Linked DNA regions of Bombyx mori. Each later gene encodes a partner of the first gene's protein in a complex. Links are inferred from orthologs where the notes say so. Each region holds a gene or a part of one and is shown on either strand. Other genes may lie near its edges. The genes, in order: EP300-interacting inhibitor of differentiation 3 and E3 SUMO-protein ligase NSE2.

Region 1 (4,290 bases):
GTCGCTTTTAAGTCAAGCGCATACCTTCAAATATTGAAATCTTCTTTCTTCTTCCATTACATTAAATTGGAGTTTACAAAAAAACGATAATTTTGGATTAAACATTTCAATGATCTAAGGGCGATATGTATATACCTAATTGTAGGAATCGAATAATTGAAACTGTTTCTAAAGGATTTCTGTGTAAGGAGTTTGGAATGAACATCGATTAAAAAAAAGTTGAAAAAGTGTACCCAAGTGTAAACAGCAAACTACCGAACCGAAACCAATATAGCGCTTTAGGTAGAAAATGGAAATTATATGTATATAGCAATTTTAAGCAGAGTAAAGTGAGCTGGGCTAAAAATTTTATATTTTTCGTGACTTGTGTAGTTAGATAAAAATTGTGCAGTATTTAAAATTTCACTTCAATATTTTTATCACTATTTACGTAGGAAGTGTTTCTTTCCTTAATAATATTAATAATAATCCTACTATAATAATTATTCATAATTTATGACGCTGTTTTTAATCGATCCACTTGCTACTACGGCGCTATCTCAATTAGCTTCCGTTCAGCGGACACTTTTTAATACTGGGATGGTGTACTTTACATCTACCCTCCACAAAATGTTATAGCTGAAGATTTTTACAAACTCAATCTTGGCAACAAATAATCACCCAAGAAACCAATTGTTCTCCCGCCAAAAAGTAGATTAATCTTGTCAACTGCGAAAACGAACCATGGAGGCATGGACTCTTAAATTAATATATTAATTATGCCATGGACTGTATTTGAATTTGAAAGAACTTTTTGGCGGGAACGCGAGGAGTGAAGTTGTGTGTTGTTTTATTTTCTCTATTTAGTGTTTCTTCGGGTTTAAATGTGTAATAGCGGTGGTTTATTAACTGTTTAATATCTGTGAAAGTGCACAAATGTGGGAAAATGAAACAAACCCATTGGACGTAGCTTCTCAGAATCCTCCAAAAAGTCCACTGAAAAATCCTCGGTAAATGACCACCATTTTACCCATTATTCATTAATTACACCATCCCATGCCATCTCATCTCATTTCATTTCATTCCAGTTCATTAATGTCTCAAATTAATCATTTTCATTTATTTCATTTAATTTCACTCTATATTAGCATTTTTATAAAATTAAGAATATAAAATAAAATATGACATGACCTAAAGGTCCTAGTTACCAGGTCATAAAATCCCAACAAATGAATTTGAAAGTTGAATGTTGAAGTTATTCTATTGTTTTAAACAATCACGAATTTAAAAAGTATTAATTGTACATTACATACTACCTTCGCTCAAAGTAATATTATTCTCATTCTGTGCATACGACGTTATTGAATCAGTAACCTAAGCTTATTAACTGCAATTCATATCTACCCCTAAATAATTATAAATAAAGTAGGTACATTTTCTTTAATAAAGTTCGTAATAATGAGTACCGCGGAATTAAACTCATCTCAGCGGAAAAGCAAGTACATTAGTATGTACGAAACTGTAACTGCTCTAGGTAAGATACGAATATTTATTTTACAAATAACCTCGGCAAGTGTACAAGTAAGTGTTACATTTAGTGCCGAACTTCTATAGAATTGTGGGCTTTAAAAACTTTTTGGGACCTGGGTATTAAATAAAACTGTAAATAACACACACTAAATATTCATAATCGCTTCCTCAAAATAAGTAATGAAGCAGGGAGATAATTATCTTACAGTAATGTACAGACTGGACAATCCAACCTGTACATTTATATATTTGAAAATCGAAAGCTAAGGGAATACGCCTGCCCTCAGAATTTTGTGATAATTTATTAATTACCTAATAAATATTTTTAATTTAATATTTCTGTCCTTTGGAATGTTTTATAGCCTTCTTCAGCATACCACGCAAGATTTAACTTCAAATCATCTTTTTTCTGCTACTAATTCTAATCCACAGGGAACCAGACTGATGTCATACCAACATGGCTGATCTGAAACTCTTTTAAAGATTACAATATTTCATAATTAGCATTGCAGTTTTTTTTCAGATATATAATAATATACCTTAACTTAAAATCTTTTATTTATGTTCAAACAGAAGATCAAAATGCGAGCAATCAAGAATGTCTAGATGTTACACACAAAGTTGTGAAAGAGGCAAAGCAACTGGTCCAGGAAGGAGGTGTTGACCATCGCAGCAAACATCCTGGTATGATATGTTCAATATTTAATTTTCTAAGATGTATCGAGTGGTACACATGCCTATTTTTGTGTCTTCACATTCCCGATCCTGTGGACAGATTCCCGATTCTGCAGACATGGAAAGCAGTCGACGTCGCCCCAAACACGTCATTTCGGATCGTCCCGATCCACTAATGGTGCTTCTAGGTACCTCAAGCACCGGTCATCACTCTCGTCGAACTCGTCGCTTGTGACGAAGGGCTCGACGAGTAAATTAACCCTCAGACACAGCCCACGGAGTTTCTTGCCGGATCTTCTCAGTGGGTTGCGTTTCTCATTCGGTGGTAGATTCTGCGAAGCACGATACTTGCTAGGGTTCGTGTTAGCAACGTCATCAGGTTTGAGCCCCGTGAGCTCACCTACTAGTTAAAGCTACGCTGATATAGCCTCTCAAGGCTCTCAGCTTAGGTAGGAAAAAAAAATGTGTGTCTGCCGGGATCTATAGACTGGGACAAAGTGCAGTGCTCTTAAGATGTCTCTGCATCCTATAAGCAAACTCCTATATGTCAGTATATCTACTCATGTTAATGAAGCCATGACATTAGATCTTTTTAGCACATTTCATTGATAACTCACTAAGTTTTAAAGGAGATAAAATCAGTTAAATTTGATAAGTTATAAACTGTATATTAATACACTATACTGAGACTAATTATGTCTGACATAAATCAAGCGGGACTTGTGTCCTGTGAGATTACAATCAAAATTAACTTACCTAGTACAACTCGAGTAGTGAAAGTAAGAAAGATCAACAAAATTCTGCAAGCTGCTCAGTTTCCAGAATAGTTCTGAGTCTATTATTCTGCAGGTGAGGGATTGCTGGACGCTCGGGTCCTCCACGCATCTTCGAACCTAGCGAAGATGTGCCTCGAGACAGTTGATGTGAACATGCATTTATATGACAAGAACCAATTAGCACAGCACATTGTGAGTTAAATATTAAGTTAAATTTATATGACAGTATTTTCTAGTAATTCAAGATATTGTACATTCTACATTTTTTATTTATTTATTGCTTAGATGGGTGTACGAGCTCACAGCCCACCTGGCGTAAAGTGGTTACTGGAGCTCGTAGACATCTATAACGTAAATACGCCACCCACCTTGAGATATAAGTTCTAAGGTCTCAAGTATAGTTACAAAGGCTCAGGCAACCTTCAAACCGAAACGGATTACTGCTTCACGGCAGAAATGGGCAGGGTGGCGGTACCTACCCACGCGGACTTTTAAGAGGTCCTACCACCAGTAATTACGCAAATTATAATTTTGCGGGTTTGATTTTTATTACACGATGTTATTTCTTCACCGTCACATTTCTATAGCATTAATAGTGTTAAATTAAGTAGAAGGGAACTGTTTCTGAAGCCAAAAAGGGAATAACAGCCTAAGCATTTTACTCAACTTTAATTAATGTATATTCTTTTAAACGGAAATCAAAACAAATACACCTGCTTTGCGTTGCCTTGTTACAAAATTATTAAAAGAATATTAGCTAACCTTCAGTCTCTTGGTTTGTAATATATGGCTCCCTAAACAAAGATTTATCAGCATTATCTAAGCCTTAACATTTGCAAGCCAAGCGGCTTCAATATATTATAACACTCCAGACAAATCTTTGGTTAGCTGTCTAATGCTGTTTCTAATAGCCAATGATGACTAGGATGTATTTGATATTTAATCTATTGAAGTAAATGATGAAACTACATAATTAAATCCATAAAAAATACTACCTCTATCCCCCCTTTCTCCTTGTCTTCATATTGTAATAATACAATTCAAGTTTAGAACCGTCTGTATCGGTAGCCAAGATATTTGACAGATGCCTGATTCTTGCTTACGACACTTTCAAGATAAGCTTGCATATATTATACAACTTCCGAACAACAATACAGTGAACCCGCTGTAAATCAAATCAAATCAAAAATTTTTAATTCAACATAAATGAAAGTACATACTTGTTGAACGTCAAAAGAACTACCGCCAATTCACAAAAACTAGCCTCCATCCTGAGAAGAATTGGCAAGAAACTCAGCGGGCATGTCTTTTTTTTAATATAAGTTTTTTT
Region 2 (4,415 bases), on another chromosome or scaffold:
TTAAAAGAGACGATGTTTTTTTTTTTTATAAGCCCTCAATGTACTGCGTTCACCGTGTATCAATACAATCGCGTTTTAAAAAAAACTTCCAATCTTACCTTTTATACGGCACTTAACATATAATAGTTGAGTAGGAAATAAATACCTTTATGGAGACTTATTTACAACGATCATATTTGAGAAATCAGTAAAATGTTTTAAAGTGATGCGTATATTTATGTATCTTATTATCCAAGCAAATATACAATTTGGTTAAACTTTCTTTTATGGTCCGTCGATTTTTGGGTCGGGGTGGGAGGGGGGTAAGGGTTTACCCCTGCACCATTCCCACCCCGCGGAACCCCATGGTTATGAAGATATTCACGGTTAATGTTTTGAGGTTAGAATAGCACTATTTAGTCAAAATAGGGTTAAAATTTAGATGAGGGTCCATTAATTTTTGAGTCGGGAGGGAGGGAAGTAAGGCCTAACCCCTGCACCATCCCCACTCCGCGGAACTCCATGGTTATGAAGATATCCACGGTTAATGTTTTGAGGTTAAAAATAGCACTATTTAGTCAACATAGAGTTAAAATTTCAATTATGGTCCATTATTTTTGATTCGAGGAAGGAGGGGTGTAGAGCTTACTACTGCGCCGTCACCAAGCCGCAGATCCCCATGGTTAATTTTTTTGATAAAAATTGCATTATTTAGTCAAACTCGAAGGGAGCTTAAGTTTGAATCCGTCTTATCTCGGGCGCTGCGGGAAGAGCAATCCTTCCGCCCTTGCGTGCCGAAGCACGGTCACTCGTGCTCTGCTCCGCACTGTTTCCGTGCTCCGTCACAGCAGGCGAGGACTGCTCTCCCTCCGCGCCTCCGGTATTTTTAAAAACACTCTAGGGGTAGGGCAGACAAGACCAAGTGGAAAGTCGGGTGCTCTGATTCGGTTTTCGATATTTTTCGAATATTTATGCAATTTTATTACCAAAACACGAGCAATTTTACTATTTTTTATTTAATAGTAATAAATAAAAAATTGTAAAAAAAAATATTTAATAAAAATAATAAAAAAATTATTTAATTATAATATGTATTTAAAAATATATTTTATTACAGACAGATAAAAAGACGCTATAAAAAAATGCGTCATTTCACGTTCCGTTCCACAGTGTAAACAAAATTTTGTTACTTTTTGTGTAAAAACGTCAATATAATTGCTTCTTACAGCAACAATTGCTGTGCACACTAATTATAAACAAATTTACTATGTGAATATATTAAAATAATAAAATAAAAATAAGATAATAATATATTTCGGTAAAAACATGACATCAAATTTTATAAAATACACGTTTACCGTGAACGGAACGTAAAACGTCAACTATGACTTGACGATTTTTCTAATTTATATGGAAACTTTAAAAATTGTTAACTCGTAAACCGTACTTCTACCGTCTTCGCAACTTAAAATTTTGCAAAAAGTTTTTTATTTAGGAGCACTATATACAAAAAAATTGTGAACTTCGAAATCGACGGACCACAAAGGAAAGCTTAGCCTAAATTAATTACAATCTGAGGTAGGCAAAGAATCTGTACTACCTGTTGGTGGGATATTGCCTCCGGACCCGGCAGACTCCGAACATGTTCAGTGTATATAATCTCTGCTCCGAACTACTGGGGTATCTCGATACACTAGCGGCACCGCCTCGGCGGCCTTATTGGCAACCGTACTCAGGTGATTAGTGTTTCAGAACCTTTATTTCGCCTCGAAGACTCCGTTGGACGGGAGTCCTTGGGGTAAGGTGCGTCTGGTTGCAGTGTTAACGCGGTAACCTCATGACCTGGCCCTGGTTCTGACCTCGAAGGGGATAAGACGCTTGGAAGAAAGTGTTGGGGAGTCGCTTAGTGGGTAGGGCCCTAAATACCATCATTGGGCCCGAGCCCACTCACACAAACAAGCCTCTTTCAATTTCCGAACGATAATATGGCTAACAAAAAAAATCATGAATTTGAAATTAGAATACAAATAGTGTATGTGCTATGCTTCCTTTGCCTAGGCAATCCCTAATAAAGAAAAAAGCGTATTCTTTCATAAAATTTTATTGTTATGACATTTGAAAATTTGAAATTATGGCTGATATAGACATTCGAGATCTGAGAAAGCAGTGTATTCAAAGCTTAATCTCGACTGCGGAAAATGTCGCTAAATATTTGCAAGAGGACAAGGAAGACAATTATGAAAAACTTAAGATGTACATGGAAAACTACTGCTTATTGGAAATAGAACAAGAAGTTGCTGAGCAGGTTTTAGAGGCAGCAAAGGTTTGTTGAAAAAGTACGATTTTATCGTTTTCAATTTAAGTAAATTCTATGTAACAACAAAGCTAATAATAAAAAAAAAAACTAGTTGTGTGTAATATATACATAATATTTCAAAATATTCAACACGTTTGCAACATTTTTTCTGAAACAGAACATAGTATAACATAGAACAGCATAGCGCAATTAATTCGTTTGTACATATAAATAACGATAATGTTTTTAGCGAATCATTATTACTTCATTAGCGGAAAAACATAGGGCAATCTTTTACATTTTTTATAAAATACTAAGAAATTAAGAATCTAAAAATTCTTCGTTTAAATTCTAGGCAGATACTAACATATCAAACATAAATACACTCCAAGAAAGATTCGAGGATGGCCTGAAAACTCTTTCACAGAACAGAATTAATCCTAACAGCCATAGATACATGCAAGAATTAAAGACTAGATATGAAAGTGGATTACAAAGTGTATCTTCATCAGGACGTGAGTATTGGATCTAAATATAGTTTAATATGATATTACTGGGTAACCAACTATTCAGTATTATGAGTAGTGAAACTCCATTCAACTTTCAAACAATACCAAAATATGAAAATAAACTACCAATCAGTATTGACATGAATTGAATTCTGTTTTTCTTAAATGGAAGTTCATCTTTATAATAGAATGAGTAGGTAATTAATTTCCATTTTTTATTTGTAACTAGGGAATTGTTACTACTATAAGATTATTTATAAATATATTGTAATTCAGGATAGGCTTAAAACAACTATTTCCTTAACACAAACAAATAATTGTTTTTTTATCTCGCCATTGTAGGCATATGGGCCATGGTTACCATCACTCATGATCGTAAGCAATACCAGGGGCACAGCCAAGATACTGCCAAGCTGCAACTGCTGAATACTCTATGCACACATCATTTGAGAGGGATATGACATAAGCACTCAGGAATGCTGAAGAATGCTGCGAAATCGGGGACTTGCTGCATTGACTGACTTTAATGTTAATATTATTTTTTATTTCTTTCTTTTGATAATCAGCTCTGCTAACTTTCTGAATATATTCAGGAAAAAATTGCACCTTGCCAATGTGTAAAATTAATATAAAACACTTTAGTTACAGAAAACCTGAATGAATCTGATATAGCTATTGTCCAAACAAATGAGCAGTTTGTAAGTATTATTCCAATATAATTGTATTATTTTAATAGGTATAATTTGATGATATTGATTTGTAAAGAAATAAATAACCTGTATATACACTCACCTATATAACAACCATAAAGCTTGTACAGTAATTACTCAAAGTTCATTCAGATGTGAAAAATATCTCAGAAAATGAGATTCTCGAACCTCTATAAAAGCTTCTTTTAGTCTATCTGAAACTTCAGTTTTATTTTTAATATGTAAAAGTTTCCACTAGATTTTAAAATTTTAAAATTTTCGATTTTCAGCTAGATCCAATTACCAAAAAACATATATCAGATCCAGTGAAGAATACAATGTGTGGCCATGTGTATGAAAGAGAGACTATTTTGAATCTCATAAGAAGGAAGCATAGAATCAGATGTCCAGGTAATTCTTCATTTGTTATAATTATCTCATCAGTCTAGTGATCGGTGATTCGAAATATTGTATTCTACAGTTCAGGTTCAGTCGTTGATTAGGTGATTGAAAATAAACTTACTTTTGCTTACAACCACCACTATTTAATTTTACAATTTTACTTTGCAGTTGCGGGATGTGCCAATCCAGAAAGCATTCAAGAAAACCATCTATTGGAAGATGAAGAATTGAGATTTAGATTATCATTGTCGCAACACTCGACCATGATACATTAAGTTCATTTAATAATATAATAAATGTGAATTGACAAAAAAGGGTATTTGTTTATTTTATTTGGTTGTTTATTATCAGGAAATTAAAATGAAATACATTTAAGATAAATTTATTTCACGAAAACATACAGAGGAATTGGGTTTGTGATTAATCATATTGCATTGTTCAATGTTCTGAGTGCAAGAATTGGGTGACATTAAAATGCGTTAAATTTTTTTTTATACAACAAGTACATACGTATTTCTGTTTGGATATATTATATACATA

What was found.
Region 2: EP300-interacting inhibitor of differentiation 3 (region 1) and E3 SUMO-protein ligase NSE2 share a complex: the UniProt entries of both Homo sapiens proteins name them as parts of the SMC5-SMC6 complex. The link is inferred for Bombyx mori from reciprocal best matches to the Homo sapiens genes EID3 and NSMCE2.

What each region holds. Positions count from the first base shown.
Region 1 is NC_085130.1:15,844,566-15,848,855, reverse strand, and holds the start of EP300-interacting inhibitor of differentiation 3, read left to right. Parts: upstream 1-1,210; 5' UTR 1,211-1,437; coding exon 1,438-1,513; intron 1,514-2,082; coding exon 2,083-2,193; intron 2,194-3,033; coding exon 3,034-3,152; intron 3,153-4,290. UniProt on the Homo sapiens protein: Tissue-specific component of the SMC5-SMC6 complex, a complex involved in repair of DNA double-strand breaks by homologous recombination.
Region 2 is NC_085128.1:13,903,000-13,907,414, reverse strand, and holds E3 SUMO-protein ligase NSE2, read left to right. Parts: upstream 1-1,377; 5' UTR 1,378-2,110; coding exon 2,111-2,302; intron 2,303-2,630; coding exon 2,631-2,790; intron 2,791-3,426; coding exon 3,427-3,482; intron 3,483-3,763; coding exon 3,764-3,884; intron 3,885-4,043; coding exon 4,044-4,150; 3' UTR 4,151-4,194; downstream 4,195-4,415. UniProt on the Homo sapiens protein: E3 SUMO-protein ligase component of the SMC5-SMC6 complex, a complex involved in DNA double-strand break repair by homologous recombination. Is not be required for the stability of the complex.